3 linked regions of the Arabidopsis thaliana genome follow. The protein of the gene in region 2 interacts with the protein of the main gene of each other region in a pairwise test. Each region holds a gene or a part of one and is shown on either strand. Other genes may lie near its edges.

Region 1 (9,064 bases), on a different chromosome or scaffold from region 2:
GGCATGGAGGGTCAATCCAACGACATATCTAAGGACATGAGTCCTAGATCTAGGGAAAATATTCCTATCAAACATACTTATCCAAGACTAACAGAGGGACTAAATATTATTCAAGAAGTCAATTTACAAATCAATGCAGATCATAAGTCTCGTTTCTCCAAAAGTACACTTGTTGGTTTCCCTTCTTCTCTTCTTCAAAATCTTCTGATCATCTCATTCTTAGTTCATAATGTCCAATATAGGTCACCGAGTAATTTTCATTCTCGTCTGGCAGCCAATGAAACCTGAAAATTTTCTTTACTTGTCCCTCAAAGCACCAAGAGATACTTCACCGTGTGTGTTTTTTCACTTACGTTGTACTGAAAATCATAGTTCATCCATCCTATAATACTACAGTTTAGACACAATTAACAAAGGAACAGGTTATGAAAAAAAAAATTGCGATCAAAAAAAATACCAATTGTTTAGACATCCACATGCAAACGTCAATTTTAAAAAAGTCTTACAATCACTTCACTCATAAAACGTATTGCATATTGCAAAAAAATGTTACTATTACCCTCAAACGATGTGAGCATACAATGCTTGACGCTCATCTAAGTTTGGTTATGATATCACTTGGAAAGATCCGACTACAATTATTTGTGGACCTTTCTGTTCACTCCTAGCCCGTAGGCTTCATCCACGTCTGACCACCGATGTCAAACTTTTGAAACCTCTAAGAAACTTGTTATTGGTCATATATTTCACCACAAACGTAAAAATACGTGTTTTTACATCTCATGATATTAATAATCATTTATAATAGGTCATTTTCTTTAGATATCTCTAACTTAGACACACTTAATGTGTAGGTTTTTCAAAATGAGTCACGAAAAAGTTAATTACACTTTGGTGATACATGAAAAATCAAATTAATAATTTTGATCATCTCAACACGCACAACTATTTTTCAAATTCAAGTTAGTACAAATACTATACGATCCTCATTTACTAGACAAAGGTTATATTCTTAAAACCAAATTAACTCCGGAAAAACTTTGCCCCCTCCAAAACCAAATTATAGCTTCAGATCATGTATTATGTATATGAATCACAAAATGTGCAGGTCAACTAGTTGTTCTCCGTTGCCTTAATTTCTCTTCTTCTCCACATGTCGTTCCCTCACCATCAGACTCCCAACACATGTTACCATATAGATATTAAGCCATAAATAACTCGTCATACAATTGTACAAAGTATTTATAGTTACGTTGTACAAGAAAAGTATTTAGAATTGGTTAATTTGCGATAAGACCTTTAGTCTACTTGATATATTTTTGCATACACGTGAGAAATTTGGTCAATAGAAATGCTGATCTACCGATAACGGTTTTGATCCTTTTCACGCCAAATTTTATAGAAAATGATCATATGCCAAAAACATATACAACAAATGAAATTGCATGTTGTGGTAAAATATTGATACAACGTTTTAATTAATTGTAATCATTTGATAGAAAACAAGCTATTTTAACATTAATAAGTTATATATAATAAATAAGTTACTATTAATATTTTACATTTACTTTTATAAAGATTTATTTATTTTAAATAGTTTTTAGGTTTCATGGTATGGTGGCAATGAACATGCTTTCAAGCCATTTTCTGCATAATAGTGTTTAACATTACATTACATTACATATATTCATTAAACCTAAATGTTAAAATTATATATGCTAAAGTTGCAATAGACATGCAATTTGAAATTGGAAGAAAATGCTAAATTAAATCTCATGCCATTTTACAGCATAATTTGATATTTTAGACATAGGAAAAACTTAAATTTTATCTTGATTGACTAGGAAAACTTAAATTAACCGTTAGTGCAAAAAAAGAAAGGATTATCTTCACAGAAAGTATATAGACTAATCTAGTGCAGTTTCCTGTTTGACATCATTACACCTAACCTTAAAATTTTCGGAGTTATAAAATAGGACCGACCTCTGTTTCTAAATGTTTCAGCGGAATTAAAGAAAAACAAAATGGCATAAAATTTGTAATTGTGTCACAAATCACAAATGATATAAAATTTCATTTTTTATCAAAAAAAAAGAAAAAAAAAGAAAAAAGAAGGAAAAAAAAAAAGAGAGAGGCAAAATTGGCATATTAATAGGACCGACCTTAGTTGGTTTTGTTTGTTTTTAATATTTGCTATGGAGTATGTGTTTTAGCAAAAACAAATCATAAATGTATATACATTGTTAAGTGTATAAAAATTGTAAATCCGTAAAATTTGAGTCAAATAGCATACAATATCTATAAATGCCATAAAAATGTAAAATTCATTTAATTATAAATCTAAATCCTAACTACTATTATATAAATCCAAACCGATATATAATCTCGTTTAATTAGAAAATTTAAAACCTTTATTATCTTTTATAAACCTAAATCAATATTTAAACTTGTTTAATTGTAAAATTTAAATCTGTTTATAAACTCAAACCGATATTCAATCTCATCAATCATAAAATTGAAATCTTAACTTTTTCTTATAACTGATATATAATTTTTTTATGGCAAATTATATTTTCTAATTAAATTAATTTAATATTATTTATTAGGTGGTAGATTTTGATTGGCTAGAATAAAAAAGTTCACCCAAGTATTTTTCAAAACAAGTACTAACCCCATCAACTTATGTGACCAACCGTTATTGAATAAATGCTTTTTATCCTCTCAGCCTAAGAGGTAACAACAGCCTGATATTCTAGCACTTAGGACGACTGTGAATTCGCCAGCCGACATAACCGAAAGAGTTCAATATATAGTGAAGCCCAAAGTTGAGTTAAAGATTAGGAAAGAGATTTGCTATTATTAAAGGTAATGCGATGTATTTTAAAATAGTTAACTAAACCAATTTTTATGTCTTTCTTCAAAAGTGAACTCTTGAGCTATCCTAAACCTGTGTGTCGTTCTTCTCACAGACTTATTTGGTGGACACACGATTTGTTTAGTCAAAGCAAACAAAAAAAGTCCCACTTCCCTATTAGAAAATCAATTCTTTGTTAAAAAGAAATTAAAACTAATTTTCGCCACGTGTAGAAACGATATCGCTTCTTTACAACTATAAATAGTCAGCCTTTCTCCTCCAAAAGGCCCAACCAATTCCATATTAAAAATATTAGTTCCTCTCGGTTCCTTTTATCATTTGCATAAAATCGTTTTGCCTCCAAAAGACTAAAAGCTCTAGACTTTGTCTCTTTGTCCTTTTATCTCTACTCCCAACAAAACCAGTTTACTCCTCTTAAGAATCATGTGTAATTCAAAACCATCTTCTGCTTCATCTTCCTTATTATCTTGTAAAGACAAAACCCATATCTCAAAACTCGAAACCTGTGATACAGATAATCCTCATTATTCTGAATTCAGGGATACTGATTCTCTAGACCTTAAAAGATGGCCAAGTTTTCTGGAGGTAAATTATTTCTTTTTTTTTCCTATACGTAAATGTTTGTTTTTTTCTACATAGATATGAACATAATAATTCAAGAATCTAGTTCTTGACAAAACTAGATTGTACGAACTATACCAAAAGCATATATACATATACATATATATAAATAGAAACAACAGTTTCGCAATCCTTTTTATATATATACCTAAATCTTTGGTCCCGGTTGGTGATTTGGTTTTGTCATTTTTTTATAAAGGTTTAAGATAAGCTTTATTTGATTAATATAATTAACCATTAACCAGGGAAAAGAAAAAAACGATCTACTGACGTGGACGGTTCTTGGTCTTGACTTTTCTTTTCTTAATTATCTGGCGGCAGGGCTTAGAGGAAGTGAAGGCGATCGGAAAAATCTCTGGGCCGACGGCGATGACCGGGCTTCTTATGTACTCAAGAGCGATGATATCGATGCTGTTCTTAGGCTACCTCGGTGAGCTTGAGTTAGCCGGAGGATCTCTCTCCATAGGCTTTGCCAATATCACCGGCTACTCCGTCATCTCCGGTTTGTCCATGGGGATGGAACCAATCTGTGGCCAAGCATACGGAGCTAAACAAATGAAGCTTTTAGGACTAACCCTTCAAAGAACCGTCCTCCTACTCCTCTCCTGCTCGGTCCCTATCTCCTTCTCGTGGCTCAACATGCGCCGAATCCTCTTATGGTGCGGCCAAGATGAAGAGATCTCCTCTGTTGCTCAACAGTTCCTTCTATTCGCCATCCCTGACCTCTTCCTTCTCTCTCTGCTTCACCCTCTTCGAATTTACCTCCGAACACAAAACATTACATTGCCCGTGACTTACTCCACGGCCGTGTCCGTTCTCCTCCACGTTCCTTTGAACTACCTCCTAGTGGTGAAACTTGAGATGGGAGTAGCGGGAGTCGCTATAGCTATGGTTTTGACAAATCTCAACCTTGTAGTCCTCTTATCCTCTTTTGTGTATTTCACTAGCGTGCATAGTGATACATGGGTCCCAATTACTATTGACTCTCTTAAAGGTTGGTCGGCTTTGCTCTCACTTGCCATACCCACTTGTGTATCTGTTTGTTTGGAGTGGTGGTGGTACGAGTTTATGATCATTTTGTGTGGACTTTTGGCTAACCCAAGAGCCACCGTGGCTTCCATGGGAATCTTGATCCAAACGACGGCTTTGGTCTACGTCTTCCCATCCTCTCTCAGCCTTGGTGTCTCTACAAGAATTAGCAACGAGCTTGGGGCTAAACGTCCGGCGAAAGCTCGGGTATCCATGATCATCTCACTCTTCTGCGCGATCGCCTTAGGCCTAATGGCGATGGTGTTTGCTGTGCTGGTTAGGCACCATTGGGGACGCTTGTTTACCACGGATGCAGAGATTCTTCAGCTGACTTCCATCGCATTACCCATTGTGGGGTTATGTGAGCTCGGAAACTGTCCTCAAACAACCGGTTGTGGGGTTTTAAGAGGCTGTGCAAGACCTACACTTGGTGCCAACATAAACTTGGGTTCATTTTACTTTGTGGGCATGCCAGTCGCTATTCTGTTTGGGTTTGTTTTCAAACAAGGGTTTCCAGGTCTCTGGTTCGGGTTGCTTGCAGCTCAAGCAACTTGTGCTTCTCTCATGTTGTGTGCACTTTTGAGAACAGATTGGAAAGTCCAAGCCGAGAGAGCTGAAGAGCTGACGTCACAAACTCCCGGAAAGTCTCCGCCCCTTCTCCCCATCGCAAGCTCAAAGAGCCGGTCTACCTCCGGTACAGAAGATATGATGAGAACCATGTTGGTTTAGATTGATAGCTATTCTCTGGAGGCATTTGCCATCAACATTGACGTACATATATGTTCTTGTCATCATTTTTTGGAGTTTATAGTGCTCCTTAATTTCTACTTTTTGATTTAAGAACGACTTTGTTTTGTGGGCTTTAGTGGTGTTTGTGTTATTTATGGTTGTATTGGTGTGATAGTTCTAATTAGCTTTGACTTCAGCAGTTTGTATTTTATGTGTTCCCTTTTGTAATAACTCGTGGTTTGATTATCTTTATATATTTGTCCATTTTCTAGGAGAATGTGAATTTTTTTTGTTAAACTAAGAATAAATTTATTTTATTTTATTTTTGTCACAAAAACTAAGTATAAATCAAAATGAAAAATTTAACCTCAATACAACTTTAATATATATATATATATATATATATATAAAAAGATTCCAAGATACTAGACGTGTCTAGGCCATTGAAATCTAGAGAAAGACCATACTAGTAGATCAAACCTAATGGCCGAAGACAATCAGAATAACTAAGGATACAGTAAAAATGTTCCATAATAGGTTAATTTTTTTGCAATTTATTTTGTATTCGTATTTGTGTTGTGAAAGCTTTGCTTATTTAACAATCAATTCTTTTCTTAAGGACAGGCAAGATGAATGTTTTATTTTTGAGCTTTTGGTGGTTCCATGTTCCATAAAAGGAAATTATATTCGTAGCCAAAAATGGAAAACAATTTCCTTTAATTCTATCATATTCTTTGTCTCAAAGCCATTGAGATTCGATACGTTTTAAAATTTAATTGAGATCACATTTATTTTGATTTTGGTTGTTTCCTTTGAGCAGAGAGAAAGCATCTTTTCTTTTATGTATACTTTTTTTTGTCCTGGGACCAGAACATGAATTTATACGAACTTCACAGCGATGTGGCCAAAGAATAAAACCAAATATGACAAGAAAATGAAATAAAACTGAGTGGAATCGATAATGCGTCTACGTGTCGACGATATGAATTACCTTTCAACCTTTGATATTCCTTTTCTATAGATATTTTTAAGAAATAAAATAAGTAAAGCCTAGTAAACTGAATTCCATTGGCTTGCTGAAATATCTTTGATTTTCATTGGCCATCGATAAAAAGTTCGAATTTCATTGGCCTTTGAATTATGACGAAAGAAAAGACAATTCTATATTATAAGTTTTGGACATCTACCTTTTGTTATTATTTACACGTGAATAGTTTTTTTTTTTTTTTTTTTTTTGTCTTTTATTGGTAAACACTATGAGGTCAATCATACTCATTCTAAATTTACTGGTGAAGCTATTTCGAAATTTTAAAGATATCAAACGTAGATGATTAACCACGGTAAAAAAAAAGTATATTTTGTAGATAGAAGTTGTTTTTCAGTACTGTACACAGTTAATTATATCTATATATGGAAAACTATAGTAAAATGAGAAAATAATAATACTAACAGTAAACAGGATTATTACGTATTTTGCCATTTTTAGTGGTATTTATGAATTTTGCTATTTTGGCTAAAATATTATGGATTTCTAAATGATATATTTGTTAGGAAAATAAATTGTTTCAAAAAGATAAGAGTTTTTAAATTTTCTATGTAATATTTTTTAGTTATTATTGATGACTCTATAAATTTTAAGAAAATTAATTGAATACTATCAGTAGAATTATAGAAAATTGTAAATCACAAAAAAAAACAGATACTTTTATAATCAACTTTTCATATGTGTGAGTGACAACTCAAGAAAATACATTATTTCAAAACAAAGGGAGTGTGTTTTAAAGGTCATTTGATATAATTATGCATTACATTTTCTTTCTACGTACTTTTTAACACTACTCTTATGTTCGCAACAATTTAAATACTTGTCATTTCCCTAAATAACTCTTTGTTTTCTCTCATTTTGCAAAGTAACCCTGCAAACTATCCTAGGAGGTGAGCATTTATTATATCTAATATATGACATATTTTTATACATCATAGAATTAGATCCGAAAGGTGATATATGTTCATGTATACTTAGAATAAGTATGGCAAGTATGCAATAATAAAGTGGAGTAGGTACATCAATCACATGTTCTTACTGTTTTTGTCTGGATCAAACGTTCAATTGTAGCCACATGAAGCATCACAAACATATAAATATAGTTCATAATACGTAGAGAGTAGAGAGAGTCGTAGACAAGTTTGTGTTCTAAGAAAAATCGAATTAATAGATGTCAAGTCTATAAATGTCGCGTGTGGTAAAGCTCGAGTTTGGAGGAGAAAGAGAATAGGCAGGGTCCCTCACCCGGCCGAGACATGAGCGTTTGATTTCCCTTTATTGTAAAATAATAGCTTTACAATCCAATTTATCACCTACTTACTTTTTCAACATCATCTTCTCATGATTCCAACCATGAGATAAATCTCATTTTCTGCTCCTCAAAGCAGCAACTAATCATATCATGATTGAGTACAAAGAGGTTAAATGCAAGATTGTTGCAATTGTTGATTCTGACGCCACTTGGAACGTGCATTCCTCTTTTACGTTAAAACAATAGTGTTTGTAAATTGTGACAACTTATATACCATCTACTTTTCCTCAAATTCATTAGGTCACCAATGGACCAAGCATGTCGAGATCGAAACTCTATTCATCCGTGAAAAATTAGCTATCGTCAAATTCAAGTTTTACATGTGTTTTCCACCTATATGGCTATATATCAATAACTCGCTAGAGTTTATTTTGCAAAAAAAAAAAAATCTTTATGGTTATTTTACAAATAATGTTCAACCATATGGTTGTTAATTCATATATTGTATTTATCATAATTAAAAATCTATAATGCCAAATGCCGACGAAGATTAAAAACATATGATATTCATAAAACTTTATTGACATGTACGATTGTTATATAGTATAATCTTTTGATATAGTTTCTTAATTATTGACATGTATGATAAACTACTACCTAAGAAAACTTTATTCTCTTTCTTAAACATTTACTTCGTTGAAATTAAGAAAAGGAACTCGTGATGCATGAGCTTTCTCTCTCAACCGACCTTAATTCGCCTTAAGCATGCCCCAAAATAGGATATGATTAAATATTTGAAAAACATAACTCATTGGCTCTGCCGTCCGGATGAATCCTTACCAATGGTTATACCTTTTCTTACTCACTTTGGATTGTTCGTTATTACTTTATCCTATTTTATTGAAATAAAAAATAAAAGTCAATTATAAAGACTCAAAAAAAGTAAATTATAAAATTCAGTTTATCACTTATCAGGATAAGAAAAGAAGGCCACTCTTTTGCCACCGCGTTCAAATGTTGTATATCGAAATAATAATGGCGAGTTATCATTCGTTGCACACAAAATCATCAAACTCAAAAGATATCTTACATAAATTATACAATATGAACATGTAAAAATGTAAGATAAAGGCACTTAATTGTTATTACCTCCTTTCGAAACTATTATATTTTAAATTATTACTATAAAATATGGGTTGTCACTAGTGCTAATAGATAAAACAAATTGTGAAGTCTTAGACCAGAAAATTTAATATTTAGAAGAAAAACATATTAACAATAATTAACCAAGATTAGAAATGAATTCACTTATACAAACGATAAACGTAAATTCAATTTTCTGATTAATGACTTTAAAATAACGGCTTATAAGACTATGTCAATAAAATTTATGCATTTTCAAAATTTGAAACTTACATAAGAATTTTATTTATATTATATCGAAGCTATAGACAATATATACTACAATACAATATTTCAAAACACAACATAATACACTTTTGATACAATAAAA
Region 2 (10,968 bases):
AAGTCAAGGTTGGCCTCCTTCTTGCTTCATCTCTGAATAATCTGGCAATCACACCTTGTTTCAGCATCCTCGCTTTTCCACTGATCGCATGCTTATGTGCATCCACATAAGTTTTCACTGTCCATTTCCCTACCCTCTTATCCACAAAACAATAAATCTTCCATTGACAGTTTTCATGGCTGCATATAGCCATCAGCTGTTTCTGACCCCATTTGCATAACTTCACATCATAGTTAGTCTTCAAGACATACCTCAAAAGCTGATCCTTAAACTCTTCACCATTATTAAACTGCTGCTTAAGCCATAGATAAGGTGGCTTATCTTTGGTGAATTTAGCTCTTGCAATTTCTCTTTCTTCACGGTCTAAAGCATCCCACTCCTCATCTGTATCCAACGCAGCATCAGGTCGCTCTGTATCCATGCATTGATCCTCAAACTCTTCTTCATCAATACCCTCTTGACCAGCCTCTTGACCAGCCTCTTGACCAGCCTCTTGACCCGTTACATGTCCTTCATCAACTCCAGCCTCTTGACCCGTTACATGTCCTTCATCAGCTTCAGGAATTCCCTGACCAGCTGCTTCCCCTGCATCTTGGTGGTTATTATCCTCTTCATTTATCTCTTCATAAAAGGCCCTAAACCGAGGATCATCTCCCTCACATTCTGCTACAGGATCAACATCATCATCTTTACCTCTGTCTTCTTCCCCAGTTTTATCTCCTTCAACCTCTGCATCAGACTCTTCCATCTCTTCAACAACAGCCTCTTCACCATGCTGAGACATAGGAAACGGTGTTGGTTCAGACACACCTTGCTCAATATAAACGTCTACTTCTCCACCAATCAACGCTTCACTGCACAGCTGCCTAATCCCACTATCTCTATCCTCGCCTATAGCTCTTACTGATTCAAAGCTTTCGTGTGCAAGCTTGTACCAAACTTTTTTCACGGGAGCAGATACTCCATTCTCTGCTGGGAAATCGGCGAAGATAGACCACGTCATCAGATCTGGATCAATGAGCATATCCCTCTTCTCAAATCCTCCAATGTAGGCAAACGACTCATCGCGAATTGAGACATCTCCTCCATACTTTATATGCAGCTTCAAACAATCGAAACCACTGCAAAAACAACAAAGAATAAGGGGATTAAGTTCAAATGACACAAACCTAGAACTCTAAAAACCCAGAAATCAAACCCGACAAAACCCTTAACCTAGAAATCGAACCCGACAAACATAGAAACTGTTACTCTAAACTCAGAAATCTAACCCGACAAATCCAGTAATCGATCCAGAAATCTTCCCATTCTCAATCCCGACAACCCAGAAATCGATCCCGACGAACAAAGAAATCGATTTCCCCCAATTCTAACCCTAAGAATCGATTCGATTACATACCTCATCGTGACTTAGCAGACTCGTTGAAATCAATTACCGACCACAACGCAACCAGTTAAACGACGACACACATCGAAATCGATTTGGGGTTTCGAAATCAAAGAGAGAATTTTAGGGTTTCGAAATCAAAGAGAGAATTTTAGGGTTTGGAATCGAAATCGATTTGGGGGAGAATGCCAAAAGGGTAACAGTGTCTTTGATTAGATCGAAATAAACACGTGGGGTTAAGTATTAACCTCGGTTAGACACTCCGTTAACGAAGTTAACAGTCGTTAACCCGAGAAGCTGGTTTTTCCAAACAAAAACTAAACGAAAGATTTTAAAGCGAAAAGAAATAAACCTAGGTATTGTTCGGGCAAATTAAATAACCGAGGTATTAAACGGGCAAATTAAAAATATATGGGGTGTTTTTAGGGTTTTTTCCCCATTTTATATTTATCAGCTAATATTCACTTATGGCTTGCTCAGTTCAGAAAATTATGGAAATCGTTGTAACCCAAACCTGTGATAGTAAAAACTGTAGGCGATACCTGAATCGGGAAAAGTTTACTTTATAATACTTCGGTTTATTTCTACCGAAACTGATCAAATCAGCCGAATGAGTACAATAAAAAGAAAGTAAAAAATTATGAAAATCGCCGTACTATTTAAAATTTTCACCACAATTAGAAGCAAAAATCTTTAGTATTTTACCAACATATATATATATATATATATAAAATCTACGAAAATAATACTGGAATGCTGAAATAATGGGATGTAGTTTCGTTTCTTGGAGCAACGTACTTACAGAGCTATATTTTTATTTTAGTTTTTGTTAACAGGATAATAACAATAACTTTATAGATATTTATTGTTTATATATTTTATTATTGTTATTGCTCTCGTTGAAAACAGAATAATAATAAAACAAGCCTTTTTCTTGTTAACGACTTGACGTATTTTTTTTCTCTTTTCCTATTAATTATCGTCACGTTTTATTACGTTTCTCTCATTGATATTTGTGGAATCTGAATCGTATTAGTCGACTCCAACTCTTAACAGGATAATGATGTTTGAAAAGTAAAATACACACTTTTTTGGTCCAAGCAGGAATATTTTGTTACGTAATTAATTTTACATGTATGTCAAGTGGATATAGTTTACTTACAAGTCTAAACACATTATATCCGTGGTACAATATTTCAACAATTAATATTCAATTTTTAATTTGCATGTGTTGTCCTACTTTAATATTGATATATCAGTGTATAGGAAAAACTTCAATTACCAAAACCACAAAAGAATGAAAAATCATACATCAAAAATCAAAAACCTAAATATATTGGAAAGTCAATTATATTAAAGGTAGATATTTACTTGTTGTTGTTGTTGCATTGCAACTTTTCAACGCGTAAACAATAACTGAGTAGCAGTGAGCATATTTGGTTATTAGTCTTATCAGAACCAAAAACATATATGGTTATTGTCTTTTAAAGATATGGACCCATGAACTATACAAAAGTGACTATTTGGTAGATATACACAAATAACGTGACACCAACTGAGAAAACCATATGACAAAACAACACATATAAATTTAAAAAATTGGCTTCGACTAGTTGTAGATATTTTGTTCCATAATCGTATTAGAACGAGAGTAAACAATAATTGAATCGAGTGGTGAGCAAATATGGTTATATATTATAACGATTTTAAAGATTTGGATCCATATTCTTAATTAGGGAGGTTGGTGGGTTCGATTGGTGTCGGTCTAGTACTCACAATAATTGTTTCATCTCAATATGATTCTGAAATAAAATGTTGAATATTGCTTACGGTGTTAAAAGTATATGGGACTAGATATGGCATATAACGTAACACTTATACATAACATCAATAAATTTAGACAATACAAAGGACAGAATTAGTAAGATAAAATTCACAAGTAACATGACGTTGGCTATTTTGTATGAACACACGGCCCAAATCGTTCATATTCTAAAAGGTATAATACATTTCGAGATATTTTGCTTCGGTTGCAAGATTTTCACAACACATTGAGTCATTGACAGCGATATGAGAAAATGTAACAATCTCTCTAATAAGAAAGGAGAATCTTATAATTTAACATAAAAATAAATATAATATTCGAGGATAATACTATAACAAGAAAGAGAAGACTTATATGATGATGGGCAAATTGTATATTCAACTATAAGGACTTAAGGAGACGCCACATAAAGCAGAAAGAGTTTAGAAGAAAACGTTTGTTGACCAATGACTTGATGACTCAGTAGCATGTGAACATAAAAAGAGACGTGCAAGAATCTCATTGGCTGCAGATAACATCTATTTTTGCTTCACTACCTCAACTTCTCTATATAATGAAGTAAACACCCCCAATGGTCTCTTTAACTTAAGTGTTTCTGTTTAACTCCTTGAGAGAAAATAACTTTTAAACTTTAGCTTCTAAGAGATATTCAGGATGACCGGAGGAGGATTTGCGACTTCGGCGAACGGAGTAGAGTTTGAGGCAAAGATAACTCCAATAGTCATCATATCTTGCATCATGGCTGCTACCGGCGGCCTCATGTTTGGTTACGACGTCGGTGTCTCCGGTAAGAATATTAACATCCCTTAGTTATTTTTCTATATGTATAATACAATCCTTTTATCTTATATTATACAAAACGTAGAAGAAGTTTTTATTTTAAAGATACATAAGTTTTTGTTAGTGCAAGTTTTCTCAAAAAACGATTTTAAATAGGACTTGCTCATGTTTTCAACTACCGCCAATAACTTCTTTGGTAGAACTATTTCACCTAATACCTAACTTCTTTGGTAATCAAAATGAAATTTCAGTAACTAGCTCGATGTTAATTAATATTGGTTAAAGTAAGAAAATAATCAAAAAAAATCTTAGCTTACAAAAGTTTGGCAGCTAAAGATCTAGACCGTCCTTGTTTTAGTTAGTATATTGACAAAAGTAGTGTCATATAGGTTTTAGTTCTTCTTTTTGTTATTTTCTTACAACACACATGCTCGATGTTGAATTTGAACATGGGCTACATCAACATGAATAAATTAATAAATTTATGAGTATAATATCCTATAGGGTTTAACGGTAAAAATAGTAACAACAAAAATAATTTTCCATCATTGAAATGGCTATACGCAGGCGGAGTGACATCGATGCCGGACTTTCTCGAAAAGTTTTTTCCCGTGGTTTATCGGAAAGTAGTAGCTGGCGCCGACAAAGACAGCAACTACTGCAAATACGACAACCAAGGACTACAACTTTTCACATCATCTTTATACTTAGCCGGTCTAACCGCAACGTTCTTTGCTTCATACACGACAAGAACGCTCGGAAGGAGGCTAACTATGCTCATAGCCGGCGTTTTCTTCATCATAGGTGTGGCTCTCAACGCGGGGGCTCAAGACCTAGCCATGCTTATTGCAGGCAGGATATTGCTTGGTTGTGGAGTTGGGTTCGCTAATCAAGCCGTTCCGTTGTTCTTGTCGGAGATTGCACCTACTAGGATCCGTGGTGGTCTTAATATTCTCTTTCAGCTTAACGTCACTATTGGTATCCTCTTCGCCAATCTTGTCAACTATGGGACCGCCAAGTAAATATCTCTTCCCTAATACTTTTCTTCTATATTTTATTTGATAATCTGAAAAAATGTGTGGAAAATAAACTTAGGGTTTGAGATTTTTTTGACAAAATAAAATCCAAATTAATATATGGTGGTCATAATTTTAGAAAATTTGCTTTAACATGACACTTGAAAAAATATCCACATGAATTGTCTCTTTCACTTCACACAACCTTAAATTTATTGTAAGAAAAAAAAAGATTTAGTTACATGTACTACCTAAAAAGTATTCATAATTTTCTGATCGTTTTTGTCAAACTTTTTGGCTGTCTTCCGTGTTTATTTAAATTTATTTTCACCTTTTTCAAAAATCATTCATATCCAATTACCAAAAAAAAAAGCATTTAACTTTATGAATAGATTTGAACAAAACAACAAAGAAAAAACTTTATCATATAAGTCGCAAACATAATTTTCTTCCGTGCTTTCGGCAAATTCTATCCACATGCCTACGTCTTATATAGTCGCAAACAAAATTTTCTCCGGCATTGACTTTTAATGCGTTATGATGATCTGTCACCTGTAATTAATGGGCTTACGTGTAGGCCCATAACGGAGTTAAAAACTGGCCCACTAAATAAATTTTGAAATGTTCGCAGGATTAAAGGAGGTTGGGGATGGAGGTTATCGTTAGGTTTGGCGGGAATTCCCGCGCTTCTTCTAACGGTCGGAGCTTTATTGGTGACAGAGACACCAAACAGTTTAGTCGAAAGAGGTCGTCTCGATGAAGGTAAAGCTGTTCTTCGTCGTATTCGAGGGACCGATAATGTTGAACCAGAGTTCGCTGATCTCCTTGAAGCTAGTCGACTTGCTAAAGAAGTTAAACACCCTTTTAGAAACCTTCTTCAACGTAGAAACCGTCCTCAGCTCGTCATCGCCGTCGCTTTACAGGTTAGTACTACCACTTCTCTGTTCTCTCGTAATTGGTAATCGGAAAAGTTTATCTCCGATTTGGAGAGTTTGACTGAAGTGATTTTGTTTTTCGTTTAGGATCTAGAAACCCTAAAATTTGATTCCATTGTGGTCATTTTAGGAGCAATAACCCTAATTGTTTGTCAAGTTTCCATAATTTTAATTCCATTGTGTTCATTTTAGGAGCAATAACCCTAAATTGTTTGTCAAGTTTCCATAATTTTGATTCCATTGTGTTCATTTTAGGAGCAATAACCCTAAATTGTTTGTCAAGTTTCCATAAATTTTGATTCCATAGAGTTCAGTTTCAAAGTTTAAAGCTAATCTTTTTTTTTTTGGTGTGCAATTTGCAGATTTTCCAGCAATGTACTGGAATCAACGCGATTATGTTCTACGCGCCTGTTCTGTTCAGCACATTAGGGTTTGGTAGTGACGCTTCACTTTACTCAGCAGTGGTGACCGGAGCAGTCAACGTCCTCTCAACTTTAGTCTCAATCTACTCCGTTGACAAAGTCGGTCGCCGAGTTCTTCTCCTAGAAGCTGGTGTCCAAATGTTCTTCTCTCAAGTCGTAATCGCCATTATCCTTGGCGTCAAAGTAACAGACACTTCTACAAATCTCTCCAAAGGTTTCGCAATTCTAGTCGTGGTAATGATCTGCACATACGTCGCTGCTTTCGCCTGGTCTTGGGGACCGCTCGGGTGGTTAATCCCTAGTGAGACATTCCCTCTAGAGACACGTTCCGCGGGACAAAGTGTAACGGTCTGCGTTAACTTGCTCTTCACGTTCATTATCGCTCAAGCTTTCCTCTCTATGCTTTGCCATTTCAAGTTTGGGATATTCATCTTCTTTTCTGCATGGGTTTTGATTATGTCTGTCTTTGTGATGTTCCTACTTCCGGAGACTAAGAATATTCCTATCGAGGAGATGACTGAGAGAGTTTGGAAGAAGCATTGGTTCTGGGCTAGGTTCATGGATGATCATAATGATCACGAGTTCGTGAATGGTGAGAAGAGTAATGGTAAATCTAATGGCTTTGATCCTTCAACACGGCTTTAAAGTGGTTTAAGAGTCCCTAACCAAAGTAGAAGCAGAAGAGAGTGAACAAGAGGTGGTAAACACACCAAAGTAGAGAAGGGAAATACAGTTTTCAATTCTATACAGTGTACTAAATTTCGTTACTTTAAGTTTGAACTGCGTTTGTGAATAAGTGAAGTTTTTTTTTTTGCTTTGTTGTGGTTCTTAATGTCATCCCTGAGTTCCAATTTTCTACAAGTGTGACATGTATATGTCAAACTCTAAATTTGCATTGTCGATTTTCTCTTAAAAATGATGGTAGCCTATGTTAATGGGCCAAATATAGGTTTGTTATGGGCCTATAATGGACTGTATAATTATTTTTGTTGGTCTCAAATTGCTTAAAAATATAGACTAGTTTTGAAGTTATACAGTCTACTCTCTACTAAAACCAGCAGTGATCAAATTGCATAAAATGTTGTTATAAAAGTTTACCCAAAAAAAGGTATTTATCACAAATATATTACTTAGATTAAAGAAATCATGGTACCAAGATGTAGGAGGAAGAGTAACTGCGAAGTACTAAAATTAAAAGATGATTCAAAATTAGCAGACCAACTAACTCGCACCATTCTTTCCTTACAAGCCTTCCAAACTTTAAACCATGTGAACACTTGACAACATATAACAAGAATCACTTTTTTCTCCTTTTGTTTAAAAACCGACTAATTTATGAGTTTTCAAAATGAATTAACCATAGTATTTTTTTATAAATTGGATTATTATATCCCAAACTAAACTTCATGTGAGATTTCTAAGTCATTCATGTCTTTTAAAAAATATCATGTCAAGATTTATTTAACATTTTATAAAGTTTTAAGGAAAAAAATCATCATTTAATTTCTTTCCTCCATTATTCTTTCTCAATTATATCGACATTTTTATTTTTTTATACATTCTTCCAATTTTCCAAGTCAGTCTTAGACATTAAATCCAACACTAATAAAAGGTAAACAAGTAAAGTAAACAATCTTTGTCAGTATTTTGCTTTTTAGACACTCCTTTCTCCAAATTAGCCAACTAACCAATAAAGATCAAGTGACCTCCTAATACATACGCACCACCACTCACATTCACATACCTCCTTGTATATATACACACACATAATAAGAAAGAGAGAAACTAAAGGAGAAAACCTTGTGGGGCTCTTTACCAAAGAAGAAGAAGAAGCGTGTGTCAGAGAAAGTTTGTTGACCGATGGCAGCCATTATAGTGGCGGCTTTAGCGTGTATCGTGGTGATGCTACGACTGAGTGAAGCGGCCGTGTACAAAGTCGGCGACTCAGCAGGATGGACAACCATAGCCAACGTAGACTACAAGCTATGGGCTTCTACCAAAACTTTCCACATTGGTGATACTGTCTGTGAGTTCCTGAATTTTCTTACATCATTGTACAATACAAGCTAAATTAAAATGAGAAGATCTTGACTGTAATACTTAATTTTGTCGGAAAGTGGACCCCCTCTAGCATTCATAATTCTTAAGTGCGTAAGCTTTAGGTGTAAAGTAAAGAGTACCACTCACGCCCTAATCATTGAGACTTTTAAGTCACAAATTAAATTTATAGGATTAATACGAAATCAAGTGTCACATCTGCTAAAGTGATTATATTAATTAGTTTAGAGAGGTTCTTAACTTATGAATCATGATTGATAAATTTTGAAATAAAAACTATGATTGAGTTTTTGGGCCAAAATATGTTATGATTTTTCTTTGGTTTATATATGCTCTCTATTTTTTTCTCATGGTATGCACATGTTTAAAATTGTTGTTACCTTTATGAAAACATGAGTAAAACGTAAACTAATTTGATTTTGATAGTGTTCGAATACAACCCACAATTCCACAACGTAATGAGAGTGACGCACCCAATGTATAGAAGTTGCAACACCTCAAAGCCAATCTCTACTTTCACCACCGGCAACGACTCAATCACACTCACCAACCACGGCCACCATTTCTTCTTTTGCGGCGTTCCTGGCCATTGCCTCGCCGGTCAGAAGCTCGACCTTCACGTCCTTCTCCCTGCCTCCTCCACGCCACTCTCTGATCCACCAACTTCCTCCTCCTCTTCTCCTCCCTCGACTACTATTCCTGCAGCCGGAGTCCCTGGCCCTTCTCCTAGCCTTGCTGCTTCTCTCCCGAGTATGGTGACGGCTCAAATCGTGGCCGTGGTGACTCTCCTAGTCTCTTTGGCCTTTACAAATTTTGCTTCTTAACTAGGATTACATATATGTATATTGGAATTACTGCATATAAGTTTTTGTTATGTATACTTATATTTTCCATATAGTTCTTTTTCCAATGATTAAAAAATGTAGAGATGGTTCAACAATAAAAATGTGCACTAAAACCAATTAGTACTTAATGAGAGTATTGTTAAACCATTCCGTTATATTCTTTTGGTCATCTTTAACCAGAGTTATGAGATAATACGGATAAAATTTTGATTTGTGCCATCATTTTTGTTGGACCACCCTGCCAACGATCCATATGGTTGAGGTTTAAACGGTTTAATAGATCTGGTTGAAAAAATTACAAGCTTTGTCTCTTTATTCATAAGGTTGTTTAATCGCTGACAAAGAATTAGAGATCTCTAAGCGGAAACAATATTGGTCACAGAGACCTTAACAAGTTCAGCTTCAAAGATAATTGCATCATTCACCAAATATCCTTTTGATGAATTTTGTAAATCTTCTAACAATATGATACTGTTCCCTTCAATACCATAACCGCTTCGAATCGCACACCAAGCTTCACCTGAAAAAGAGAGAGAAAAAGGAACAAACCAAATTATATTTTTTTCACTTAATATGTCTTCTGGATATTAACATTTTACTTTTATTCTTTGATAGTTTTCTTACTATATAGTTGAATGTGGTTGGAGCTTCGTTGATTCTTTAACTGCAGATTAACCGATCCCCAAGTGTTTGTAATAACTGCGTTTGCCTTATAGCCTTGAGCATATAGAAAGATTGAAAGTGCACGTGGTCTTTCTCCTTGATACCCTTTCGGGTTAAATCCTAATCTCCTGATTACATATTCACTCAAAACTGTTATTACCAAAAATATGTTTTCCTCTTTTACGACATTTTTGAGCAATTGTTTTGATATAATTTGATTAGAAACTACTAACCAGTATCGGTCTCCAACGAGAAATTCGTCAGAGTAATAGAACTTATTTTCCAAGGTGGAGAAACGAAGTATCTTCCAAGTGAAGACATTGTCCGGAGGGTTTGATATGAATGTGATTTTCTCTTGTTTTTCGGCTGGATTAACGATGGATATCTCAGCACCAAAAGATAAGGTATCATGCAAGATGTAACCTTCGTTTGGGTCAAGCAATGTTGTACGAGGGATCAAGTTTCCGAATCCCCAATATGTTTTCGCAGCTTCGTACCGCTTCACTGTTCCATCTGCAATCCACAATTATCCAAATCACTATCAAATATGTTTATATTTCAAATCTCCAACAAGTAGATGTTTCGGTGGATGTATAAAAATAGAATGGTCCTAGTTATAAAAATTATATAAACATTGTAAACTACCTGAAACAGTCAAGTACTTGTGTAGCTTCTCATTGTGGACAAAGAGTTTGAGATCAACATTGACTTCCCAGCCTCTTGGAAAAGATTCGGTCTCTTTGATCCCCACGTAAAGTGCCATATTTTCATGTCCACCATCGGGGTCGTTTTGATTACCATTCACGAACAACATAAATCTCCTGATTTTTTGTTTCCAATCAAAATAAACTCAAGCTTATGAAAAAGTTTTCGAGTTAAGTGAAAGAGACTATGATGTTTAATTTACCATTTGTAACCAGCAGCCTCAAAAGTAGAGGATTCAAAGGCTTCAGATCTGCCCTTAATCACGGAGAAGCTTGTTATTGTCACTATCTTACTCGATGGTCGCTCTTCTCTCAATACCCTTGTCAGTCCTA
Region 3 (10,775 bases), on a different chromosome or scaffold from region 2:
CATTATACAATGTGTTCTTCTCTGTTTGATGTTTGTAGTATTGGGGTTTACACTCTTACATTATTGGATATATGTTCACATTGGAAGCCTTATATATACCTGCTTCGTTGTGTCATCTTGGATTATTGTAGAGTTTGGCGGTGAATGATTACACCAAAGCAAAGATAACTGAAAGAATTGAGCCATGGATTAGAAGAGAGCTTCAGGCAGTCCTTGGAGATCCTGATCCCTCAGTTATTGTTCATTTTGCGTCAGCTCTTTTCATCAAAAGGCTTGAGAGAGAGAATAATCGACAAACCGGGCAGACCGGGATGTTGGTGGAAGATGAAGTCTCCTCTCTTCGAAAATTCTTGTCTGATAAGGTGGATATATTTTGGCATGAACTAAGGTAAGATTTTTATACGCTAGGGTTTTTTCAGAGTTTCAAGTAGTTACAGGTTTAGTATAGTAGTACAGAAAACACATAGGCAACCTAAACCTAGTGACTTGTAAGTCTGAACAGATGATAGAGCTGATATCTGTTTGGTTTAGGTTTTTTGGTCATATACTATTTCTGATGAGAAAGAAAACATTTTTCAGATGTTTTGCGGAGAGTATACTCACGATGGAGACTTATGATGCAGTGGTTGAATACAATGAGGTGGAGTAATAGCAGTAAAAAAAACAGGTAAAGAAATTAGGATATGTATTATGTGGGTTTGGTTTCACTAAGTAGGAACCTGTTTTGCTTCGATGGTTTTTTTTCTGAAGTCATTATGTTGTATTCGCTTGCAGATAACCGAGCACTATGCTCTCGTCAAATGAAGTAAATAGACAGACTTACAACGCGACTGTTGGTGTCTTGGAAGTTCAATAGTGGAAAGACTGGACCAAGTAAGAGAAACCAAGAGTTAAAGAGTAGGTAGGAGGAAGATGTTGAGATGATGCAAGTTTAGGTGTGGAGTTAGTTTTGAGATAGCTATAGGTGGATTCTCAAATAGCTGACACTTAGTCTCTCTACTTCCATAATGTACGTCTCTTCTATACCAAAAATTCTCACCCCCAAAGTTTCTTTCCAACGCTTTTCCTCACCTCATCATTTTTTCTTACGTTTCGAGTACCACCTATTTCAACAACATTAAATATTTTCTATAATTTGACTATCAATTTTTAATAAATTAAAACTATACATAGTTTTAGATAAATTACACGAAGCTTCCATAGAAGAGGAAAGTTCATTTGAATTTCTCTTCTAAACCGTACCTTAAAGATTAAATGGTGAATATACACGGGGAAATTTTTTTAATAAACAACGCGTTCTCTATTAAGGTATTGATTGATATAAGTAAGCAAGCGGGTGTAACACAAAATAAAATATTATAAAAGGCTTCTTCTATAGGTTGGTAAGCGGCAATCCAGCTGCCATTGCCTATTTGACTTCCCCCATTCGATCATGGTGAGCTCGTCTTCTCTCTTCTCCTCTTATCTCTTTCTCTACCATTTTCTTTTGCTTTAAAGCTCTCTCAATCATGATCATGAAGACCCCCATCACAGCATTCCATTCATCCTCATGAATAATTCTACATCAGGTTTCTTCTCTTTCCCTTTCTGATTCTCAACACTCTTACCACATTTCTACTTTTGTGTTGTATATCGATTTTTGTTCTACATTCTTCCAAATGTCAGGGAATCTAGTTGAAATGTGATGATTTTTGTGTTGATAACTTGATATCTGGTATGGATTGAATGATTGGTGATTATCTCTGTTAATTCATCTCTGATCGTGTTTCTGTTTGTGTTGACTTGGAATGTGGACCTGGTTTGGATAGTGAAGAGGCTGGTTTCATCTAAGGCAATGAAATGTTTCTACTTCAGCAAAGACAAAACTCAGGATGATGAAGCTAAGACTAGAAAGTTTGGTTCAGCTACGATGGCTAGAGGAGGATCAGGGTCTGAGTTTAATTCAGATACAAGTACTGCTACTTCCATTACTTCTTCCTTGCACGTCCTCTCAGAGACACACAGTAATAATCTCAAAGTATTTGTCCTCGATGACCTTAAAACCGCTACCAAGAACTTCAGCCGCTCCTTGATGATCGGTGAAGGTGGCTTTGGTGGTGTCTTTCGTGGCGTGATTCAGAACCCTCAAGATTCTCGTAAAAAGATTGATATTGCAGTTAAACAACTTAGTAGAAGAGGTCTACAGGCAAGCAAATCTTTTTCTCTCTCTTTAGTTTGCTTCTGTTTTACACAACCTCCTTCAGTACCCAACAATAAAAACAACTACGTATGCATTAACAGGGGCATAAAGAATGGGTGACAGAGGTAAATGTATTGGGAGTAGTGGAGCATCCGAATCTGGTGAAGCTGATCGGTTATTGCGCTGAGGATGATGAGAGAGGGATCCAACGGCTACTTGTTTACGAATACGTACAAAACAGAAGTGTTCAAGACCATTTATCCAATCGTTTTATAGTCACTCCTCTTCCTTGGTCCACCAGACTGAAGATTGCTCAAGACACTGCTAGAGGACTCGCTTATCTTCATCAAGGCATGGAGTTTCAGGTATCTTCTCCATCCATGATCACAAATGCCTTTAAACCTTTTTCATATGTTCTTGAAACTATACTCATCTTATATGCAGATCATCTTTAGGGATTTCAAATCCTCTAATATCCTTCTTGATGAGAACTGGAATGCAAAACTCTCGGATTTCGGACTGGCTCGAATGGGTCCTTCAGATGGAATCACTCACGTTTCCACCGCGGTACGCTACGCCTTACTTGTTATGTCTCCATTGATTGTTTGAAACAATTGAAGTCTTACCAAACTATGAATCTACAGGTTGTAGGGACCATTGGTTATGCAGCACCGGAATACATCCAAACAGGACACCTCACGGCTAAGAGCGACGTGTGGAGCTACGGAATCTTTTTATATGAACTCATCACAGGAAGACGACCTTTTGACCGTAACCGCCCAAGAAACGAGCAGAACATCTTGGAGTGGATCAGACCACACTTATCCGACATAAAGAAGTTCAAAATGATCATCGACCCAAGACTTGAAGGAAACTACTACCTCAAGTCAGCATTAAAGCTAGCTGCAGTTGCTAACCGGTGTTTGATGGTAAAAGCGAAAGCAAGGCCAACAATGAGTCAGGTTTCAGAGATGTTAGAAAGGATAGTGGAAACATCATCAGATGGTGCTCCTTCAGGACTGCCATTGATGAAAAGCTTGACACCTAAAGATGCATTCGAAGCCTCAAGAAGGGAGAGAGTTAAGAGAAGATTTGTTGAACTGTTAATTGGAGAAAATGGTTGTCCCAATTTACCTACTTGGTCTCATAAACTTGTTACTTCTATTTGATTTTTTTGAGAGAACAAACTGATAATCACACTGCTTGTGTTATGCCAATATTAATTGCCATTATAATCACTTGTCGTTTCTATAAATAAAACGGCCCGCAGTTTTGCCCACAATAAACGCCGTGTCGTTTACATCTTAAAGTAAACATTGCAACTGTCTTCTCCGATAGTCCGATTTCTATGTTCCCGTTAATTGGGGTTTTAGGGTTTTCCGATTAGTTCCACAATGCTCTCTATTCGCCGCCATGCCAAAACCGTAGCTTCCTCCTGCACCAACCTTACTCAGAAACGAACCTACGTCGACGTTTACATGAAATGGAAGAGAGATCCTTATTTCGACAACATCGAACACATCCTCCGATCATCTCAGCTCAAATCCGTCGTCTCTCTTAAGAACTGTATCGTCCAGGAACCTAATCGCTGCATTCCGATCTCTGCCATCTCCAAGAAGACTCGTCAATTCGATGTATCAACCAAAATCGCTCACTTCTTAAGGAAGTTTCCTTCAATCTTTGAAGAGTTCGTTGGTCCAGAGTATAATCTCCCATGGTTTAGATTGACACCAGAAGCAACAGAACTAGATAGGCAAGAGAGAGTCGTATACCAAACTTCTGCAGATGATTTGCGTGATAGGTTGAAGAAATTGATTCTGATGAGTAAAGATAATGTTTTGCCACTAAGTATAGTTCAAGGAATGAAATGGTATTTAGGTTTACCTGATGATTACTTGCAGTTTCCAGATATGAATTTAGATTCTTCGTTTAGGTTTGTGGATATGGAAGATGGAGTTAAAGGTTTAGCAGTAGATTATAATGGAGGAGATAAGGTTTTGTCTGTGTTGCAGAAGAATGCAATGAAGAAGAGAAGAGGAGAAGTGAGTTTAGAAGAGATTGAGTTTCCTCTGTTTCCATCAAAAGGTTGTAGATTGAGAGTCAAGATTGAAGATTGGTTAATGGAGTTTCAAAAGCTTCCTTATGTATCACCATATGATGATTATTCATGTTTGGATCCAAGTAGTGATATAGCAGAGAAGAGAGTTGTTGGTTTTCTTCATGAATTGCTTTGTCTTTTCGTTGAGCATTCTGCTGAGAGGAAGAAGTTGTTATGTCTCAAGAAGCATTTTGGATTGCCGCAAAAGGTTCATAAGGCGTTTGAGAGACATCCGCAGATTTTCTACTTGTCTATGAAGAATAAAACTTGTACAGCTATTCTTAGAGAGCCTTATAGAGATAAAGCTAGTGTTGAAACACATCCTGTGTTGGGGGTAAGGAAGAAATACATCCAGTTGATGAAGAATTCAGAGTTGATTCTGAAGAGTCGAAGGAATAGTTTCGGGTTTAGGGACGAAGGGGTTGTAGATAAAGATTTGGATTTGGATTTTGAAGGCTAAGGCAAAATGTTGTACCAATCTTTATTAATCAACTTTCAAACCAGTTTTAAGATGCAGATCATCACTCAGATATTACAAAAGCTTTGAATGCAAGAATGAATTTTGCTATACGAAAACAAAAGACAAAACAGAAAAAGAAAAAAAGAAAAAAAGTATTCCCCTGAAAGACAAAATGGGTATAAGAGTTTGTAAGAAAAAAACAGAGAAATATTTTCAGTTGGTCAATTTCTCAACGATCTTGGAAAGAGCTGAATATGAGCCAATGACTGAAGATATTGCTCCTACTATGATGATTAAGACACACAACATCATCTACAAAAACCAACCAAAACTTTGTTAATGAATCGTCTTATAACACATAGAAACAATGTTTTTGTGAGAGGCTAACCTGGGTCGGGGTAACTTTTCTCCTTACAATGCTCAAGAAACAAGCTGGAGGAAGTATTAGAGTCTGCACAAAACAAAAGATGAACTTATATATCCAAACTTAAGATCCTCATTTGTAGTAGATATACCAAAAATAGAAGGAAAAGACAGCTTACGACGAGCATAGTCAACAACGATCCAATCAATGACATGACAAGACCTGCAAGATTTTTGAGTGTTCTCACAACTAGCAAAAGTATGATTTTCAAGAAAAGGAGCTTTGCATCAAAATAGTAAAGAGGAACTTACCAAAGAAGGGAATAGCGAGACCAACAAGCAGAGTAGAGAAGACCAATAGGGTTCTAATGCCGATGGCGTACCAATGTGACCTGATATGCCTTGATGGTATCAACTCCTCAAGACTCATTGCTACTGGAGATATGGTCAAAGCATATTTGGTAAATGGATTGACCACCTGTGAAACGGTTAAAACAAAACGGTTTTACTTCCAACCAACATGCAAGAACCAATACGTAGTGGAAAGAAAACATATTTGGTCCACTTACCGTAGTCCACACAGCAATCTTAGTTGCAATTAAATCTTGAGGCAAGTTGAGAGTAAACTGTGACTGTGTTGATTCTCCAAACATCGTATAACCCATAACAGCGACGCCGGCATACATCAGAGTACAAATACCAAAACTGCACAAAATTATCAATCTTTCTGCTATCAAAATGGTTGAATATTTTCTTGAAGTTTGCATAAGCGAAAGTCGAAGCGTTGTAGAAGATAAGAACTTGTTTAAAGCGACATAAGCTTACCATGTCAAGAGAACAGCAGGGTATTGAGATGGTTTGGCCATAGAAGTATAAATATTGGGGAAAACAGCATGTCCTGAGTAGCAGTAACCATAGAGTCCTATAGCCACAGGTAATGTTGACAAGTTTAGTGTAGTTCCTTTGCTGTGAATTCCAACTTCATCTACCAAACCAATCCAAAACAAACATAAAACCACTAGCACTGATGCAATCACCCCTCCAGCAGAGATATAACTAAGTACGCTGAGATCTCTGAGCCAAACGGTGGGGAGAACGGCGAGAGTGGTTAGCAATGCAAATAGATGGCGTGCATCTAACTGAAATCCTCCAATACTTAAGGCAGCATTTGGATATAATGAAGACAAATTATCACTCTCCAATATTATATATTCCACACAGCATGCCTGAAAATATGAATAGACTCATGTCAAGTCTGCAGATGTATCATCTAGTATCTACTATATAGTCACTATTCAACTAATCATTTCACACTAGTAGCTTTTAAGAAGCTTTTTAGGGATCATTTCCATCTAAAATATATCTTTGCTACTTTAGTGACGTCAAAAGTATATAAGCTTTATGAAGGAACAAAATGAAACAAAGAGAAAAGTTTAAAGCAGCTTCAGGTAGTGCCAAATCTAGAACTAGTGGCAGAATCTATGGGACCCTTTGCTAACGTGTTTCACAACATGGGGTCACATACTTGAGATCTCTTTTCTTGTTTGTTTTTTTTAAAACACAACTTGGAATCTCTGTAGTTATGTACTTTTCTTGACAAAAAGAGTCATGGGATTCCAATTTTTATAAAATATGAATTAAAGTCAAGTGATGGACGAATCCAAGAAGTACTTACGTATAGCTCCAAGTAGAGTACAATCTGCAATACAAACAATAAAAGGAATAAATTAATAAAAATTGATATCAAATTCCACTATTAAAGAAGCTAATATTCGTAGTTTCTTGCTCTATTTGATGAGATGTATTATTAATTCAATAGGTTTCTTCTACTCATTTGACTTCTTATAGCAATCTAATTGCACCAACACATGCGTGATAGTAATTTTTCATAAGAATAAAGCTTCATACTTGAAACAAAAGTGGTAGCTTTTTGCCCTTTGCTTTTGAGTTGTTCTATTTGATCCTAGGCCAAAAGGCAATTCTCTTTTTGTGTGGGATCTTGTATATAGTTCATTCAGTTTTCTTTTTCTCTATTTGGTCCTTAACTTTATATCACCTTCACTATAGAGGAAGATTTTAAGGAAATTTATCATCTTACCGAGACAAAGATACGTCCAGTAGTACCAAACGCAGCTTGGCCAATGTCGGGATAGGTTTCGAGGTCAGACTCACTGTCGAGGCAATAACGAAGGAGGATTCCGGTGTAGAAAGAAAGAAGACCATATACAAATAGTATCATAAGTCCTAACCATCCTCCTTCTTTGGCAGCATAAGGCGTTGAAAGTATTCCAACCCCACAAAGAACGTTCAATCCTGCACATGACCCACATGTTATACAAGATGATCATAAATTTACTAAGAGCAAAAGATCTCAATCATGTTCTTTGAACCTAGACGTGTTTGGTCCAACATGTGCTCCATGTGCTATAGGACAATAGAGTTGATTGTTGTTTTGTACGATTCACTTAATTTATAAAGAGACATACATCTTTAAACCCCGAAGAAGACGGTCTTAGACCCTCTTACACACACAATCTAGATTCCTATAATGAAAATCAAACAACAGAGAAAATGTTGACATATTTTCATTAGTATTTAACGGTGAATGAACACAATTGCAATCAATATTGCAGCTCTATAGTTCTAGGAAAGCAGCAATTAGCTCTACCATCGTTACTACTCTCATCAAGCCAAGCATCAGAGAATCTCTTAAAACTATTTAACCACTTTTAACGAAGAGAAGACACGATATTTTAACTCAAGCATTAAGATGAACTGACCATTTAGTACAGCTTGTCCGTATGAGCTATTACGAGACATTGGAATCTCATGAGACACCATGGATGATTTCTCATCCTTTCGCATCGAACCCCTCCTCGAAGGAATAGGAGAGAGTAAGCCCTGAGAGCTAAGTCTATGTTTTGGTAGTGCTTGTTCATCTGCTTGTTCTTCTAACAAAGGTTTTGTAACAGTAGGTAATGATTCCGGAGTATGTCTTCTTATCAAACCAGAAGACAAGAAAGAGCTTCCGAATCTCGTCATCGAATTATTCCCAAGAAAACCGATACCGGGAGACGGTACACTACTATAAAGATCAATCGACTGCCTACAAACATTATCAAGAACACACAAAACCAACTCTTAAAACGTAGCAAATCAAATCAAGAAATGGAGTAATATTAGCGGAAATGAAACATATTCACTTAACTACCACAATAAAGAGTGGAAACGGAGAGAAGCCAAACCTGTAACTCTGAGGCCAAGCAGTGGTGTATGAGCTAGGCTTAATGTGAGCTTGGTTTTCATCATAAACATCATCAGAGGAATCAGAATGGCTTCCACCATCTTCTTCTACGTAATCTTTCCTATCGTCTTCGTCCTCGCTCTCAATGTAAAAGCTTTGATCAGACGGTACGTGATTCATTTTTTCACTTTATGAAATCTGATTTGAATTCGTGTAAAAGAAAATAAATGGTAAGATTGTCGGAACAATCAAATCCGAATAAAGATAACTGGTGACGAGATCTAACCTGTAAAGTCAAACAGTCTCTTGTTCTGTCTCAAGAACAGGATTATGGAGAAATGTAAAAAAATTCTAAGCTTCAATGATTGAGTCCCCAGATCACATCAAGAAAACAGACAAACAAAAGAACATTGGTAAGATTGTCGGAATTTCGAAACAGAAACAGAATTTTGAGAGAAATAAGATTGCATCGCTGCGTGAGAATTTCATTCAATCTTAAATCATTGATTGGCAAAAGAGAAAACAAATGAAAAAGGATTGAAGAAAGAAGAAAGTGAGAATCGTTGGTGTTGTAGACATTGATATTGTTACCTGAAAATCTTCGGATCAGAATCGGTGCGGAGAGAAGAGAGAGCTCTTCTGATAGGAGGAGGATATAGAGAGAGGGAGATGAGAGTGGAAAGGAGAGGGAGAGAGAGCGGCTTTTTCTCTGTTCTACAAATAATAAAACTCTTTACAAAAGTTTTTTTCAAATTAAATACTTTTTAGGGTAACTTATTTTATTTATATTAATCATTTTCCTCTAAACTTATTTAATAATTAATCATTGAGTATTAATTGTTGTGGTTATAGATTCCCATTTTTAGTTTGAATATGTGATAGGTTTCCAGTTATAGATTCCCAGTTTAAGTTTGATTGGTACTGTTTTCTAAACCCAACGCTTATACATGTAATAGTTTGGAAAAGAGTACCAATTTGGGGGTTTTTTTTTTAACAAAGATGTTTTGATATTTAATTAAATTTTTAAACCATGTTTGGTAAGAAATTGGAATGAGATCGTAAGACAAAAGTGAAAACAATGTGAAAGTAAGATTTGGTTTAAAACGGAAACAACAAAATATCAACAACAAAAAAAACCATCTTGTTTTATTAGCAGAGAGCCCGTATGAAGGACGTGTGACAAGTATCAGGCGAGTGTGTCCACGCCCTTTTGGTCGAGTGGAATAAAAAGACAAGAACACACAAGTTTAGGACAACAAGGAGATGACTGGATGACGACGAGTTGCAAACTCAAGTGGTGGTACGCCGTGAATATGTGATTGGTGCCAGATTAAGCAGTGCTTATTTAATAGTACATATTTTGTTTTATTTATGGCTCGACGACGTCATAATTTTTAATCATATTGTTTGCTTCTTTATCTTACTTACTATAGACAAGAAAATGTCCTTAAGATACACCTAAATAAAAGTAATTAAGTGGACTAATTAGCATAATCCGAGGGGGCTGTTTATGTCAATTTCTTATTATAGAATATGATTATACTATTCTTCATTGTTGGGTAGGCAAACCATATCTTGCTGACGGAGATAATTTAAATTTATTATTGCAATACATCAGCTTTAGGATTGTGGGATTGTCTCAAATCCCACTTTTTTAAAAATAGTTTAACAGCAAACTGAGAATCTTTCTTTCTTTTTGTTGTTGGTCAGAAATACAAACTGAGAATCTGATCATGTATTAAAACAAACTAACCAAATAGTGCTTTTTTATTAAGGTTTCATGAAATGTGACGCCTTAGCGAGGCTAACGAAAACAAGAAGTGTCATGAGAAACACAAAAATCAAAACCACATATGAATGAGCGATTCATCTCATTTAGCTAGCAACACCTTTTCAGAGTATATATCACATATGCTATGGAGTATCTAGATTGGTGAATTTAAATTGCATCGTCATAAAACAAGAGGGAAAAAGCCACAGTAATCAATCAAAAGATTAGGTCAATATCAAATAGCTAATTTTTCAAAATGAAAGTTGATATACGATAAAAAGGTCAGATTAATAAAAACAAAATGGTTCATTGAACATGTATGTATCAGATTGTAAGTATGTCAAATCAAAGTATATATCTATCTCACTTTCGAAATCTGCAAAAATGACTAGTTAATTGAGGTGAACCGGCAAAAAAATCACAATCGTAAGAACAGAATCACATGATGTGTAGATCTGTTGGTCGTTCATTTGGACTTTTCTTCTGAAACGATAACTCAAGAGCATGTGCTCATTTGATCTCTCTTTGTTGATTCTCCGCTTCCTTCAACATATCCCCACATGCTTCATTGTTGTATTTTATTTTTATTTTCGAAACTATATTAATACAGAGGAGAGGAAGATCGTCCTCACAAGTATTTGCAAAAATGATACACAAATC

Evidence for each region.
Region 1: the proteins of MSS1 (region 2) and ZF14 interact in a protein complementation assay, tested with the Arabidopsis thaliana proteins (one large-scale study listed by BioGRID).
Region 3: the proteins of MSS1 (region 2) and AT2G39130 interact in a protein complementation assay, tested with the Arabidopsis thaliana proteins (one large-scale study listed by BioGRID).

What each region holds. Positions count from the first base shown.
Region 1 is NC_003070.9:21,649,864-21,658,927, forward strand, and holds ZF14 (MATE efflux family protein), read left to right. Parts: upstream 1-3,124; 5' UTR 3,125-3,298; coding exon 3,299-3,460; intron 3,461-3,817; coding exon 3,818-5,254; 3' UTR 5,255-5,576; downstream 5,577-9,064.
Region 2 is NC_003076.8:9,239,893-9,250,860, reverse strand, and holds MSS1 (Major facilitator superfamily protein), read left to right. Parts: upstream 1-3,320; 5' UTR 3,321-3,866; coding exon 3,867-3,999; intron 4,000-4,559; coding exon 4,560-5,010; intron 5,011-5,639; coding exon 5,640-5,931; intron 5,932-6,305; coding exon 6,306-7,010; 3' UTR 7,011-7,463; downstream 7,464-10,968. Other genes in the region: AT5G26330 (Cupredoxin superfamily protein), read left to right, coding at 8,226-8,391, 8,850-9,247; AT5G26320 (TRAF-like family protein), read right to left, coding at 9,625-9,788, 9,893-10,059, 10,165-10,444, 10,577-10,752, 10,839-10,965. UniProt on the Arabidopsis thaliana protein: Mediates an active uptake of hexoses, probably by sugar/hydrogen symport.
Region 3 is NC_003071.7:16,318,221-16,328,995, forward strand, and holds AT2G39130 (Transmembrane amino acid transporter family protein), read right to left. Parts: upstream 9,087-10,775; 5' UTR 8,936-9,086; exon of another isoform or gene 8,701-8,935; 5' UTR 8,631-8,700; intron 8,543-8,630; 5' UTR 8,525-8,542; coding exon 8,346-8,524; intron 8,207-8,345; coding exon 7,881-8,206; intron 7,414-7,880; coding exon 7,199-7,413; intron 6,800-7,198; coding exon 6,776-6,799; intron 6,327-6,775; coding exon 5,926-6,326; intron 5,806-5,925; coding exon 5,670-5,805; intron 5,579-5,669; coding exon 5,413-5,578; coding exon of another isoform or gene 5,369-5,412; intron 5,324-5,368; coding exon 5,280-5,323; intron 5,189-5,279; coding exon 5,126-5,188; intron 5,050-5,125; coding exon 4,951-5,049; 3' UTR 4,738-4,950; downstream 1-4,737. Other genes in the region: AT2G39100 (RING/U-box superfamily protein), read left to right, coding at 132-388, 580-649; AT2G39110 (Protein kinase superfamily protein), read left to right, coding at 1,550-1,568, 1,809-2,185, 2,281-2,544, 2,624-2,746, 2,824-3,348; WTF9 (Ubiquitin carboxyl-terminal hydrolase family protein), read left to right, coding at 3,574-4,737.